Linked DNA regions of Daphnia pulex. The protein of the gene in region 2 purifies or fractionates together with the protein of the main gene of each other region. This does not show direct contact. Links are inferred from orthologs where the notes say so. Each region holds a gene or a part of one and is shown on either strand. Other genes may lie near its edges.

Evidence for each region.
Region 1: the proteins of pre-mRNA-processing-splicing factor 8 (region 2) and protein ecdysoneless-like purify together in Homo sapiens (affinity purification with mass spectrometry; 7 studies listed by BioGRID and IntAct, counting the BioPlex papers as one, with this or other methods). This does not show direct contact. The link is inferred for Daphnia pulex from reciprocal best matches to the Homo sapiens genes PRPF8 and ECD.
Region 3: the proteins of pre-mRNA-processing-splicing factor 8 (region 2) and U2 small nuclear ribonucleoprotein A'-like fractionate together in Homo sapiens (co-fractionation; 3 studies listed by BioGRID, with this or other methods). This does not show direct contact. The link is inferred for Daphnia pulex from reciprocal best matches to the Homo sapiens genes PRPF8 and SNRPA1.
Region 4: the proteins of pre-mRNA-processing-splicing factor 8 (region 2) and splicing factor 3A subunit 1-like purify together in Homo sapiens (affinity purification with mass spectrometry; 4 studies listed by BioGRID and IntAct, with this or other methods). This does not show direct contact. The link is inferred for Daphnia pulex from reciprocal best matches to the Homo sapiens genes PRPF8 and SF3A1.

What each region holds. Positions count from the first base shown.
Region 1 is NC_060018.1:5,231,288-5,234,802, reverse strand, and holds the end of protein ecdysoneless-like, read right to left. Parts: intron 2,989-3,515; coding exon 2,901-2,988; intron 2,826-2,900; coding exon 2,647-2,825; intron 2,538-2,646; coding exon 2,396-2,537; intron 2,299-2,395; coding exon 2,119-2,298; intron 2,049-2,118; coding exon 1,923-2,048; intron 1,850-1,922; coding exon 1,669-1,849; intron 1,605-1,668; coding exon 1,290-1,604; intron 1,228-1,289; coding exon 1,043-1,227; intron 980-1,042; coding exon 779-979; 3' UTR 358-778; downstream 1-357. UniProt on the Homo sapiens protein: Regulator of p53/TP53 stability and function. Inhibits MDM2-mediated degradation of p53/TP53 possibly by cooperating in part with TXNIP. May be involved transcriptional regulation. In vitro has intrinsic transactivation activity enhanced by EP300.
Region 2 is NC_060027.1:2,056,649-2,059,906, forward strand, and holds the end of pre-mRNA-processing-splicing factor 8, read left to right. Parts: coding exon 1-349; intron 350-427; coding exon 428-2,534; 3' UTR 2,535-2,752; downstream 2,753-3,258. UniProt on the Homo sapiens protein: Plays a role in pre-mRNA splicing as core component of precatalytic, catalytic and postcatalytic spliceosomal complexes, both of the predominant U2-type spliceosome and the minor U12-type spliceosome.
Region 3 is NC_060021.1:10,325,751-10,329,096, forward strand, and holds U2 small nuclear ribonucleoprotein A'-like, read right to left. Parts: upstream 2,000-3,346; 5' UTR 1,857-1,999; coding exon 1,775-1,856; intron 1,638-1,774; coding exon 1,597-1,637; intron 1,538-1,596; coding exon 1,431-1,537; intron 1,367-1,430; coding exon 1,138-1,366; intron 1,075-1,137; coding exon 960-1,074; intron 898-959; coding exon 745-897; intron 682-744; coding exon 638-681; 3' UTR 508-637; downstream 1-507. Other genes in the region: lariat debranching enzyme B-like, read left to right, coding at 2,353-2,549, 2,619-2,910, 2,968-3,068, 3,140-3,326. UniProt on the Homo sapiens protein: Involved in pre-mRNA splicing as component of the spliceosome. Associated with sn-RNP U2, where it contributes to the binding of stem loop IV of U2 snRNA.
Region 4 is NC_060024.1:13,065,668-13,069,981, forward strand, and holds the start of splicing factor 3A subunit 1-like, read left to right. Parts: upstream 1-1,507; 5' UTR 1,508-1,719; coding exon 1,720-1,828; intron 1,829-1,885; coding exon 1,886-2,264; intron 2,265-2,333; coding exon 2,334-2,493; intron 2,494-2,555; coding exon 2,556-4,133; 3' UTR 4,134-4,314. Other genes in the region: proteasome subunit alpha type-2, read left to right, coding at 101-141, 202-278, 338-593, 672-1,002. UniProt on the Homo sapiens protein: Component of the 17S U2 SnRNP complex of the spliceosome, a large ribonucleoprotein complex that removes introns from transcribed pre-mRNAs.

The DNA of each region.
Region 1 (3,515 bases), on a different chromosome or scaffold from region 2:
AAACTGCGTAATGGCATCCTTCAAACTTACTCAACTGTATTATCATCAAATCCGTTGAGAACTCGATGATTGGACATTTTGGTATGTTGGCAAACAATTTAACGATACTCAAATTCATTAGAACTACTTCAAAAAGCCAAAAGAATAAAAATAATGGCCAGACGCGAATTAAAATAGCTTGTACCTTGCCCTTTTGACTCCACATTTGTGCGCATACAACAACTTAGCAAAAAAAAAAGGTATTTTTAAAATCTGGAACAAGGATACGGGCTGGAGGCAAACCGTGACTTGCGTGGGTACGAGTAATTTGACCCCACGAGTCGTTCCGTTTGTATCGACTTAATTTACAAGACGTGCTCAGTGTGAATCCTCGTGTATCTTTCAAATGGCAGCTATAACGCCAAAAGACATGGAAGAACGCAAAGAAGGCGAATACATAAATCCGAAATGTATTAGGAATGGAGCTGGAAATGGAAAAAAAAAAAAAAAGTCCCGTTATACAAACCACCTCCACCGAGCGTTGTGTATCACAGAGGGATAGCAGCGACTGGCTTTTGAGAAATGTGTCAGATTCGAAAAGGTGAGGGACCGAATTTTTTAAAGAAAAAAAAAACCGGAAGTTTTTATCAAAAGACGAATCATAATAATAAATTAAACCTCAAATCACCCAATCGCATGGGTAAGAGGAAATAGGGCGGATGAAAAGACATCGATAATAATTACATAGGGAAAGAGTGAAGAGAAAAAGAGGAGAAAAACAAACGTAAGGTCACAATCTTCAGTCGGTTTGTTTTTTACTGGCTGATACCTGGCTCCGAGAAAGATTCAATTGATTCAACAAAATAGATGCAGGACCAGGACCACCACGCTGCATTGTGTAGGAAGCAAGAAGGGATTCAAGAGCAGCAGAATCAATTTTTACGGGTTGAAAGTTTTCCACATCGCTGAAACTCTCACAACCTTCGCTCATGACGGATTCCTGGAAACGAATTCGATGGCTTATTACCAATTGTTTGTTAATTCCACACACACAAAAATTTACCTTGCGAGTAGGGTTGTCTACGGAAGTACGATGAACATCCGTGGTTAACAATTCTTGATCCATTGTTTGCATGTATTTGTTCATCTCCTTGTCTACCAACTCGTCGCCTTCTTCCTCTTCACTGTAGCTGCTCAAACAAGAAGAATTTGATTCCAAATCCCAATTGTCTTCTGGCAGAGCGAAATCTACAAAAGATTTTTTTTTTATTATTTTCAAAGTCCAACAAATTTACAAGAAATTGACGTACCAAGAATCCCTTGCATTGCGGATGCAAAACTATCTGGATCGAAACCAATGTTGGTAGAAAGTTGGGAAGCGTCAGAGGCGTTTGAGAGCGTTGACGTCTTCCTTGAAGGCGGAGCTAGGTGAGAAAGCTTTCTGGATTTCTTCCTGCCGTTGGCCGGCGTAAGACCTTCATAATCTGACGTCCGATTGAGGAAGGTTTCAAGTTTAGGCAAGATATCGGCCTTGGCCTCGTCATCATCATCGACTCCCAACAAACTAAATTTGTCGCCGAGAATTTGATCAAGGGTGGCAGGATCAACAGATAGCCAGGAGTCATCTGTATTGAATAACAACGAAACATGAGTTGCAGTTCTACCAACGTCTTACAAGTGAAACCTTACCGTCATCCGCAGGTAAATGGGATTCTACTTTCTTGAATTTGTCGACATCGGCACAAACAGATTGCATCAGTCTTAAAATGACAGGTTTCTTTGCCGGTCCTTCTACTCCCACACTATTGATGTAAAATTCTCGAGCTTTTTCCATAAGCTCATTATGTGGTTTAGAACCATCGAGGAAATCCTAAAAGAACAAACAGAAATAAAAACACAAATTACTTTGTAAATTTGACAAAATAACTTTCAGTGAAATTTACCTGGAAAAATCCTTTTTCTTTCAGTGTGTTTAGGAATCGATTCCAACGTGAATCCATGTCCAAAGAATAATCGTCGTCTTTTTGGTGTAAGGATTCCTCGTTAGCCAGTAATTCAAATCCAATAGCCTGAAATGATTTGAAAACATAAATAAATTCAAAACAGAAAAGACAAAATCAGATAAAAGAAATTGCGTACAAGTTTCATGCCAAGGTCTGAACCCGTTCGTTTGGAATCGCCAATCGGTGGTAAAGACCAGCCAGTCCTGTGATCTGGCTGGTAGTTACGGTGAACAAGCATAGCATAAAGACATTTTGTGAATGTCACTGACGTCCATACTCGAGTTTCTGGGGGAAAGAAACGCATGGCGCGGATAACCTACGTTACATAACGGGGGGAACAAAATAATTGATTAAACCTTGCCTTCGGGAGCTCGGGTTTGAGCTGACATTTTAACCAGACACTTTTTAAATACCTGCAGTTGAGAGGCATCGCGCTGACAGAATGCATGAATAGCTGGTGCTACAAGAGTCGGATAGGATTGCAGCAAAGCGGCAACACCAGCAGGCACGAATACATTGCAACGGTGAAGACTGGAATCGATTTGAGATACGCACCTGAATTAGTTGAAAGAAAAAACACACACACAAAAAAAAAACCAGGGGAGTTGTCCCCATTACGAAATGGCCTTAAACTCGAAAACAAAATTAGAAATTTCAAATTTACTTGTCAATGCGCTGGTGGATTGGCTCTTGAATGGGAGCGGGTGCTATGGTCAAGTGCGGCATGGAACGAACAATGTGAACAGCGTCCATCAGAGAAGGCTGGCCTGACGGTAAAGGAGTGATACTAGAGGGACGATCAGCTATACTGATTATATGAACTTGACCACCATGGATAAAAACCTGTAATTTTCAGAGTGATAAAATTATAACTTTGTCAAGGAATTCCAAAAAAAAGAGTTAAGCGAATAAACTTACCCTGTTGATGCAAGTTTCTGGGTTGGCCCAACGCGGAAGACTATCGGCAGCTTCAACCAGCAAGAATTCACCATCTGAATCAACAATTCTGTGATGGGGAGAAGAAGAAAAACAAAACAAACAAACAACAAAACTGGTTAGAATATCAATTGTCTAGACCATCCGGTTAAATCACTAATTCAATTATATCCGCAGAAACGGCGGACCACTGGCGCGATGCTTAGTGTAATTGATTGAAAAAGTTGGAGATGCCAAAAATAGTCGCTTACCAATTCACAAGGTTTTTTTCTAAAATAGATTAACTGCGAGTGCGGCAAAGCCAGCAGTTGCACAATTTAGAGCATGTTGGTGACATGTTGGAATTGGGTAAGTAATCAACGGCGATTCACGAAAACAATTTATCGCTTGTAGGGGACAGGAAAAAGACTTCCTGACGAGAGAGTGCAAGCGAATATAAAAATAGCACAGAGGCGGCGATGTGGCAAAGAAGTGGGGAAAAGAAAAACAGGAGAGATAGAGAGGAGAGAGAGAAATGGAGAGCTCCTGTTGTGTCTACGTGAATGGAAGTTCGGCGGACAACTGAGGACTTCAGGTGGACCCGCACCTTCCTTTAGA
Region 2 (3,258 bases):
TGACTAATGCCCAGCGTTCCGGTTTGAATCAAATTCCCAACCGTCGGTTCACTCTGTGGTGGTCGCCAACCATCAACCGAGCCAACGTCTACGTTGGTTTCCAGGTCCAACTCGATTTGACTGGCATTTTCATGCACGGCAAAATCCCGACGTTGAAGATTTCCTTGATTCAAATTTTCCGTGCCCATTTGTGGCAGAAGATCCACGAATCCGTCGTGATGGATCTTTGTCAAGTTTTCGATCAGGAACTTGACGCTTTGGAGATTGAAACTGTGCAGAAAGAAACTATTCATCCCCGTAAATCTTACAAGATGAACTCTTCCTGCGCCGACATCCTTCTCTTCGCCTCGTAAGTGGAACTTATTTTTCTGTCTTGTGTTTTCCTTGTTGTAATATTTGTTACATGTTCTTCATTTTGTTTTTTCAGGTACAAGTGGAACGTTTCTCGGCCATCCCTTTTGGCTGACTCTCGTGATGTCATGGACAATACCACCACACAAAAATACTGGATTGATGTCCAGCTGCGTTGGGGCGATTACGATTCCCACGACATTGAACGTTATTCTCGTGCTAAATTCCTCGACTACACGACAGACAACATGTCCATCTATCCGTCGCCGACTGGTGTCCTGATTGCCCTGGATTTGGCCTACAATTTGCACAGTGCATACGGCAATTGGTTCCCTGGATCCAAGCCGCTTATCCAACAAGCCATGGCGAAGATCATGAAGGCCAATCCTGCTCTCTACGTCTTGCGCGAACGTATCCGCAAAGGTCTCCAGCTGTATTCTTCTGAGCCGACGGAACCTTACTTGTCATCGCAGAATTACGGCGAATTGTTCTCCAATCAAATCATTTGGTTCGTCGATGATACAAACGTCTACCGTGTCACGATCCACAAGACCTTCGAAGGCAACTTGACGACCAAACCCATTAACGGAGCCATTTTCATCTTCAATCCTCGTACTGGTCAGCTTTTCCTCAAGATTATTCACACGTCCGTATGGGCCGGTCAGAAGCGTTTGGGTCAGCTGGCGAAGTGGAAGACTGCCGAAGAAGTTGCCGCCCTGATTCGATCGTTGCCCGTGGAAGAACAGCCCAAACAGATCATCGTCACACGAAAGGGCATGTTGGATCCCCTCGAAGTCCATTTGCTGGATTTCCCCAACATTGTCATCAAGGGCTCTGAGCTCCAGCTTCCCTTCCAGGCCTGCCTTAAAGTCGAGAAGTTTGGTGATTTGATTTTGAAGGCGACCGAACCCCAGATGGTCCTGTTCAACCTCTACGACGATTGGCTGAAAACCATTTCCAGCTACACGGCATTCTCCCGTCTTATTCTTATTCTGCGCGCCCTTCACGTGAACAATGACCGAACCAAGGTGGTGCTGAAACCGGACAAGACCACCATCACCGAAGCCCACCACATTTGGCCCTCACTGACGGACGAGCAATGGATCAAAGTTGAAGTGCAACTCAAGGATCTCATCCTGGCGGATTACGGCAAGAAGAACAACGTCAACGTGGCTTCGCTGACACAGTCTGAAATTCGAGACATCATTCTCGGTATGGAGATCAGTGCCCCTTCGGCCCAACGTCAGCAGATTGCCGAAATCGAGAAGCAGACCAAGGAGCAGACGCAGCTGACAGCTACGACGACACGAACAGTCAACAAACATGGTGACGAAATCATCACGAGCACCACTTCCAATTACGAGACGCAGACATTCAGCTCCAAGACCGAATGGAGAATCCGAGCCATTTCGGCCACCAACCTCCACCTCCGAACGAATCACATTTACGTTTCATCGGACGACATTAAAGAGACGGGCTACACTTACATTCTACCCAAGAACGTGCTGAAAAAGTTTGTCACCATTTCCGACTTGAGAGCGCAGATTGCGGGATACCTTTACGGCATCAGTCCACCTGACAATCCTCAGGTGAAGGAGATTCGCTGCATTGTGATGCCGCCTCAATGGGGTACGCATCAGTCGATCCACTTGCCCGTCCAACTACCCCAGCACGAGTACCTCAAAGACCTGGAGCCACTCGGCTGGATGCACACTCAACCCAATGAGTTGCCGCAACTGTCGCCACAGGATATTACAACTCACGCCAAAGTGATGGCCGACAATGCCAATTGGGATGGCGAGAAGACTGTGATCATTACGTGCAGTTTCACACCTGGCTCTTGTTCGCTCATGGCCTACAAGTTGACGCCCAGCGGCTTTGAATGGGGCAAACAGAACACGGATCGCGGCAACAATCCCAAGGGTTATCTACCGTCACATTACGAGCGAGTGCAAATGTTGTTGTCCGATCAATTCCTCGGCTTTTTCATGGTCCCTTGCCAGGGCTCGTGGAACTACAATTTCATGGGTGTTCGCCACGACCCTAACATGAAGTATGAACTTCACCTGGCCAATCCAAAGGAGTTTTATCACGAGGTTCATCGGCCATCGCATTTCATGAATTTCTCCTCCATCGAGGAAGGTGACAGTGTCGGAGCAGATCGTGATGACTCGTTCGCTTGATTTTCTTGATTTTTTTTTTGTATGGTCTTTTTTCGTTTCCATCCGGGGCCCGTTCCCAATACATAGCCGGAGAAAATAGAAAATAATATGTTTGGGAACTCATGAAATCAAGCTTTGTGTTTTGCTTCCCAATTCTTATAACTTGAAGTTTTTTTCATGTTTTAATGTACTTTCTGTTTGATTCGATTTAAACAGAATACAATAGAGCAAACATTTTATTTCCGTCTGCAACGTTTAATTTGTTTCCATTGCATTCTGTTCCATATCTGCCTTGATCTGAAGTTACTATCGATCAAGAGAGCATCCTTTTGTACTTTACACAACTTAACGAATTGATTAGCTTACGAATAATTAAGTCCTAGAAGTTAAAACAACGAAATCAGCCAAGAGCTAATACTTAATCAATTTCAGTTTGTTTTTCTAACCCTTCCTCTCCCCACCCAGAGTTCTTTTAATGCACAGGTGAAAAATATTACTTTTTAAGATGCAACCTTGAATTGATTACCATAACCCTTAAAAAAAATTTATTCCCCATTTTGTACCTTTTAAGGGGTTAGCAAAACCGCCTACTGAGACAGTTCTCTTATTGACGTGGTCTTGTGAACACGGACAGTTGCAGACTTGCAGGGCAGTTTCGCAGTCCTGCTTGTATTCCAACAGTGATCATCATGCCTCGTTATTTCAGTTCTGTAGCTTTATTTTTTGCGTTCAACAACAGTAGCCT
Region 3 (3,346 bases), on a different chromosome or scaffold from region 2:
AATATTAGTAGAATTTTGAACTTAAAACGATCAGTTCTGGATTTTCGTATAGCTGTAAGTTGTAACCTACAAACCAAGTTTGCTGCCATTATCACATCATCATGGCGGTGTTAGCTCATGATATTCCGGATGTGGTATCGGGAAAAATAGGAGTGGGCGCCAAAAATCTTACTCAAAACAACGAAACTTACGCACGGGCACGCTCGTTAATGAAAGGACACGAAACGCTCTAAATTAGATCGTCTACAGTTTCCAAGCTACTCCTAACCCGTCATGTCCGGCTGAAAATAACGCACACCCCCACATCCGCCTTCTATGCATGACTCATTCCGCAAATGGCAGATGAGCCTCTTCCGAATACACGTAGGATATACACACTATGTAGCATATCTAATTCTATGACTGAAAATTGGTTTCGCTACGCATTTTTCACAACACAGTTTTGTTAAAATGACCAAATTTAATCGCTTCTCGGTCTTTTAACTGTGACACAAATTAGACGGGCAATTTGTAATTTCAAAAATATCTTTCTGCTACCTTATTTACTCTAGGGTAGCGATATTTTTATTATCAAAGTGTAGTCCCACATTCACATTAACAGCTTGATACAAATTAATTTTTACCCGTGATGGCATTGTCATTTCTCCATGGGTTCATCTTCTTCCTCCTCCATATCTTCACCTACAACAATTCAAAAGTTTTAACAAACGAAACAAGGAAGTTGAAGACAGGATGTGAATTTACCATTTGCATTTCCGTTTTTGCTGGAGCCTTGGGTGGCTTTTCCAGGTACGACACCTGCCCTCAACATTTGGTTTAGACGTTCTACCTCTTCCAAGGTGGAGGCATTAGCAACAGCTTCTCGGATTGCACGAGCCTCCTCCGCAGATGCACCACCTACACAAAATAATTTAATAACATTTCTTAGGCTAACAAAACAAAACATTTGTGTTTTTTACCTATCGGTGCCTTATTTCCCGCTTCAGCTGAAAGAAACTTGCTTTTCTGGGCGATTTCTTTCGCCAATACTTTTCCTTTCTTTGATTTGAATAGGTCTCGGGCGGCTTCTCTCTCCTTCAAATCAAGTTTTACATGAATAAGGAGGAAAATTCCTGATGTCAGGTAGAACATTATTACCTTAAGTTTTACTTTACGAAAATCCAACACCCTCAGGCTTGGCAACTTGTTTATCACATATGAACGATAATGTTGCTTATTTGCAACAGGATTGCTCAGTAGACTTAAATAGGTGAGTTTAGAGAATTCTGCTAATGGGTCAAGGTCGCCCAACTCTTGCAGATGATTATTTGTCAGGACAAGGGTTTCGAGGTTTGGAATGACTTCACCTAATCCATCAGCAATGCGTCTACAGATTTTAAAGAATCATTTGCATGAAATTAAATTTGTGAATAATACAACAAAAAACTTACAAGATTCTGTTGTTGTTTAGGAGAAGACTTTTAATTCGTCTCAGCAAGGGAAAACCATCCAATTTCCTTATGTCATTATCTGAAAAATCTATTGTGTCAAACTGATCCTGAAAAAAGAAAACACTCCAGTAACTGTTCAGCATGATTACACTACAAATTTACTTACTAAAGTTGCTCCTAGGTTTTCAATTACAGGAATCTTGTAACCTAAAATGATGACAAAAAATAGCTGTATTTTCACGAAATATTTTTACAATTACATCACTTTTTTTAAGCCAACACAAAAAACTTTTGAACTTTAGTAACTGACTGAATGAGATTGAAGCTGAACGCCGGTTACATACCTCTTAAATCTAGTTCTCTTTCTTTGATGGCATTCGTGTACTGGTGGCTCAAGTGAATGACCTCAGCCGTCAACTTCACCATTTTCTTTTTGGCTTTTTAAACCTTAAACACGTAATTGAATTTGGGAAAAGATGCAATTAAAACTTGAACAAAATGTTTTTGCACGTTTGTAGTTGACAAATCTAGGGATATCTAAGTGACGCCATGTGCGATGTTGCAACTCATTTCCGAATACATTTCCAAACAGGAAATTAACTTTTCAAACTAAAGTTTTATCAAAGGTTTTGTGCATCTGTAGCTTTTTATCTTGAAATATAAATACTTTTCTAAACTAAAGTATTTAAATTTGTCAACAAAATTAAAAAAAATTATAAACGTTAGAAAATATATGAAAATGGCTGTGTTTTTGCCGCTAGGTTTTAAGCAGACGACAATAGCCACGAACGATTCGGCTTCCAGTAAAACTGTAAACAACTTCAAAATATTGAGTTTGTGTTGTAACTTGAAAGCAAGTTATCAACTTTGAAACAGCATTTGACATTTATCTTAAAATATCAAGTTAAAGACAGTATAAAACATGATTATTGCTGTTGAAGGGTGCGCTCATGGTGAACTTGATCAAATTTACCGGTCTGTCGAGAATTTGGCGAGGCAAAGAAATGTCAAAGTTGATTTGCTCATCTGTTGTGGAGATTTTCAAGCTGTTCGAAACGAAAGTGACTTACAATGCATGGCAGTACCTGACAAATTCCGTCATATCTGTACATTCTACAAGTATTTATTTATAATTGTTTTAGACAAATAAGAGTTTATTGTAATTGTTACTGTTTTTTTCAATATCAGGTATTATAATGGTGAATTGAAAGCACCAATTTTAACTATTTTCATTGGAGGCAATCATGAAGCATCAAACTATCTACAAGAACTTGCATATGGAGGCTGGGTTGCTCCAAATATATATTATCTTGGCTATGCTGGTGTAGTCAAGTTTGGTGGCATCAGAATAGCGGGAATATCAGGCATCTTTAAAGGACATGATTACTTGAAAGGACATTTTGAAAAACCTCCCTACACAAACAGCACTATGAGATCAGCTTATCATGTTCGTAGTCTTGAAGTATTTCGCTTGAAACAGGTAATTACATTTTGATTGTTTTAAAGATTAAAAACTTAAATGTCTTTTAATTTTCAGTTAAAAGAAGACATAGATATTTTTATTTCACATGATTGGCCTCGTGGTGTCTACAATTATGCAGATACCAGAGAACTTCTGCATTGGAAACCATTCTTTCGGTTTGAAATAGTGTTACCTAATTGTTCCAAAACACAATTCAATTTACACATTTCTTTCTTTCCCCTTCCAGTGATGAGATAGCCCAAAATGTATTGGGAAGTCAAGCTGGAGAAACATTACTTCACGAATTGAAGCCTAAACATTGGTTTGCTGCCCACCTTCATTGTAGGTTTGCTGCTACAATCCAACATAATGAAAAACAATCAACTCAATTTCTAGCACTTGATAAGTGTCTTCCAAGACGTCAGTACCTTGAAGTAAGATTTAATTCAGAATA
Region 4 (4,314 bases), on a different chromosome or scaffold from region 2:
AAACTCTTCTTCATTTCCCGACCAAGTGTTGAAGGCGCATTCAATTCTGTCCTGTCATTCAATAACTGAACAGAACAGAACTAAAAAATCTAACTAGACCATGGCTTCCGAAAGATATAGTTTCTCCCTAACAACTTTCAGGTTTTCTATCATTTACTTTCTAAGTTTTGACTAAATATAACATTTATTTTCATTGTTTAGTCCTTCTGGAAAACTGGTACAAATCGAGTATGCTTTGGCCGCAGTAGCTGCCGGTGCTGCATCAGTCGGCATTAAAGGTATATTGAAATTTCAGCATGTAAAAGATTGTAACAATGTAAATAATGTTATGTTATAGCTGCCAATGGTGTCGTTCTGGCCACTGAGAAGAAGCATCGGTCAATCTTATATGAAGAACACAGTGTTCACAAGATTGAAATGATTACCCCCAAGATCGGTATGGTCTACAGTGGAATGGGTCCTGATTATCGCCTCTTGGTTCGTCAAGCAAGGAAAATGGCTCAACAATATTGGGTAACTTATCAAGAACAGATACCAACTGCCCAGCTTGTCCAGCGTGTTGCTACCCTCATGCAAGAGTACACACAGTCTGGGTAAATATTTGGTTTTGTCACAAAAAAATAGTTCTTAAATAGTATAGATGAACATTTCAATGAATTTTTGTAATGCAGAGGTGTCAGGCCATTTGGTGTTTCACTCTTGATGTGTGGCTGGGATGAAGGACGTCCATATCTGTTTCAGTGTGATCCATCAGGAGCCTACTTTGCCTGGAAAGCCACTGCCATGGGAAAGAATTACATCAATGGCAAAACTTTCCTCGAGAAAAGATACAATGAAGACCTCGAGCTCGACGATGCTGTCCACACTGCGATTCTTACTCTCAAAGAGGGTTTTGAAGGAGGCATGACAGAAGATAATGTTGAAATTGGTATTTGTAACGAGCAGGGTTTCCGCCGATTATCTCCCGCTGAGGTTAAGGATTACTTGGCGAACATTGCCTAAACGGCTCGAAAATTCTTTGATTTCAAACAAGTGTCGAAAAATAAATCTGATGGTTGCTTAATGAATTTTCTCTTGGATTTTAAAAACAAAATTCCTTTTCTTTGTTCATTGCTAAACAATCATTTTCCTACTATCTTCACTCAAATTGCCTGTTAGAAATCTTAAAATCTATCAGATAAAAGATCTAAAAGATCCAGTCATAATTCCTCAATCAGTTCAAAGTGGTTGTATTTTTTATACTTGATCATTGTTGTTTAACGTTCAAGTTTATTCTAAATTCTTACTACATACTTTCTTCATTTCTTGTATCGATTCAAACGAGCAAACAGATGAATGAACCGAATGAACTATGAATTTGGATATGATTTTGTTTTGGTACTTGACATATATTAGTGAATTCCGTATAATTCAACAGTATAGTTCAAGGGATTCTTTTTCTGAATTGAACTAATAGCAGATAAGAGTTTAACAATTTTTTCTAGGTGGAAAAAAGTGGGAAGAAGTCGGAATCGGAATTCGGAAGAAGTGGGCGCCACACTGAAATTAAACAGTCTGACAACATTGTAGCGGATAGACAGCAACGTTTTGTTGCGTTCTGCTGTTAAAGCCGGAACAGAAAAACGCTATTTAACTCACATTTTAGAAATAGAATCAGTTTTTAATTTTGACGTGAGAATCTGACAATTTCATACATCAGAATAGAGTTTGATAGTCAGCATGCCACCTGCTGTGGAAACATTGCCAGTTTCTGGTGAAGTAAATATGCCCGAGAATGCTTCTACCAAGCCTACTGTCGGCATCATTTACCCACCTCCTGAAGTCAGAAGTAAGTTTGTTGTCAACTTACAAGTTCGTGAATAATTCATAACAATTTTCTTCTTAGATATTGTGGACAAGACAGCCAGCTTTGTAGCCAGAAATGGGTTGGAGTTTGAAGCACGGATTAGGAAAAATGAGCAGAATAACCCAAAATTCAACTTTCTTAATACTGGAGATCCTTATCATGCATACTACCAGTACAAAGTTAAGGATATCAGAGAAGGAAAGCTTGCAGAAGGTGCACCTGCAGCAGCACCTGTCCCAGGCCCACCGGGAAAACCACCACCATCAGCCCCTACATCAGCACCAGCTTCGTTGGCACAGCAGCAGAAACAGCAAGAAATTTTGAAACAATTCCAGCAAGAAGCCCCTGTAATCCCAAAAGAGCCACCTCCAGAGTTTGAATTCATTGTTGATCCTCCATCGATTTCAGCCATGGAATTGTGAGTTTTTTAAATAACTATTTAAATATTATGAAGCTAAAACTTAACAACACTTGTGTCTTATTTCAGAGACATTGTGAAACTCACTGCCCAATTTGTAGCTAGGAATGGTCGCCAGTTCCTCACAAGTCTGATGAATCGTGAGGCCAGAAATTATCAGTTTGACTTTCTGCGTCCTCAGCACTCGCTTTTTCAATATTTCACTCGTCTCCTAGAACAGTACACCAAAGTATTTTGATTGGTAGATTATTTTGTTTGAATGAAAGTCTAAATGATTTTGTTATTCTTTAGGTTCTTATCCCACCGAAAGACTTGATGACCCGTTTGAACGAGGGTTGCACTAATACTAGCGTTGTCTTACAAGAAGTCAAACGACGAGCCGACTGGCAACGTCATCAAGAGGCTCAGAAACGCCGAGAAGAAGAAGAAGCTGAAAGGGAACGCGTGTCATATGCGCAAATTGATTGGCACGACTTTGTAGTCGTCGAATCAGTTGACTATCAACCATTCGAAATTGGTAATTTCCCTCCTCCCACAACCCCAGAGGAGGTCGGTGCCCGTATTCTTCTCCAGGAGCGCTACGAAGAAGGACAAGATGTTGAGATGCAGCTGGAGAGTGAAGAGGAAGACGATGATGAAGAAGACGATTCAGACACGGAACAGACAAAGCCACCACCACCACCAGGCGCACCGCCCTCTCAAGCCATCAAGGGAGATGGACTACAGCCTCCTCCAGTGGCTCCTTCTGCCGAAAACGTCATCGTGCGTAAAGACTACAATCCCAAAGCTGTGGCAAAACCACAAGCCCGTCCGCCTGCTCCAGACGAGTACCTCATCTCACCCATCACTGGAGAGCGAATTCCGGCTAGCCAAGTGGCTGAGCACATGCGTATCGGTTTGCTGGATCCGCGTTGGTTGGAGCAGCGCGATCGACAAATGCAAGAAAAGATGACTCAAGAGTCTGTGTACGCGCCCGGATCAGCCATCGAAAACAGCTTGCGAGCATTGGCTGAACGTCGTACAGATATTTTCGGTGTCGGTGACGAAGAGACAGCCATCGGTAAAAAGATTGGTGAAGAAGAGCGTCGCAAAGACGAGACCAAATGGGAAGGACAACAACCGCCTGCCCCGCCACCATCAGGTGGAGAGGGAGGATCAACGTTCCAACCCCGACCTGGTCCACCTGCTGGCCTGGTTACCATACAAGAGCAGATTGCGCAGATCCACAAGAACAAGGCGCTCATGACTGGCATGAGCGAGGAAGAAGATGGGCTAGGATCTAATGGCGTTGTAGCAGCAGCGCCACCTAAACCTCCACAACAATTAATGAGCATTCCACCAAGACCACCGGTCATGATGTCTGCTCCGCAGCCGCCACCCATGATGATGATGTCCATCCCTCAGCCGCCAATGCCAATGCCCATGGTCCCCCAGAATTCTTTCATGACGCAGATGCCTCAGTCTATGGGCATGATGCAGCAACAGCAGCAGGGTCAGGGTGGTCGAGATGTCATGGAGGAGGAGCCTCCTTCTAAACGACAGCGCAACGAGGATCAACTTATGCCTGAGGAAGCCTTTTTGGTCAGATATCCCGGTCTGCTCCACTTCCATATTGGTGCACCAGTTTACGCCGAAAAACCCGAGTGGAGATTGCAGGGCCAGCAGCTCAGCTTTTCCTTGTTGCCCACGGAACCAATCTCCGTTGTTAAGCAGAAGATTAGTGAAGCGACAGGAATGCCGCCGGCCAAGCAAAAGCTCTTTTGGGAGGGGCTCTACTTCAAGGACAATCATTCTCTGGCATTTTACAATGTTACCCCCGATGCTGTTGTCCAGCTTCAGGTGAAGGAACGAGGCGGTCGTAAGAAGTAAAAAACAATTCTGGAAAATCCTAAACCATCAAAAAACCTCATTTACATCAGTACGGACCTTGGGGGATAATTACGTAATCGGAAAGCATTTTACAACCATTTTGTCTCTCCCTCTGCTACACTGTCATCGATTCCTTCCTGGTCTCAGAAATGGAAATATATTCAACTTTTCTCATTTCTCC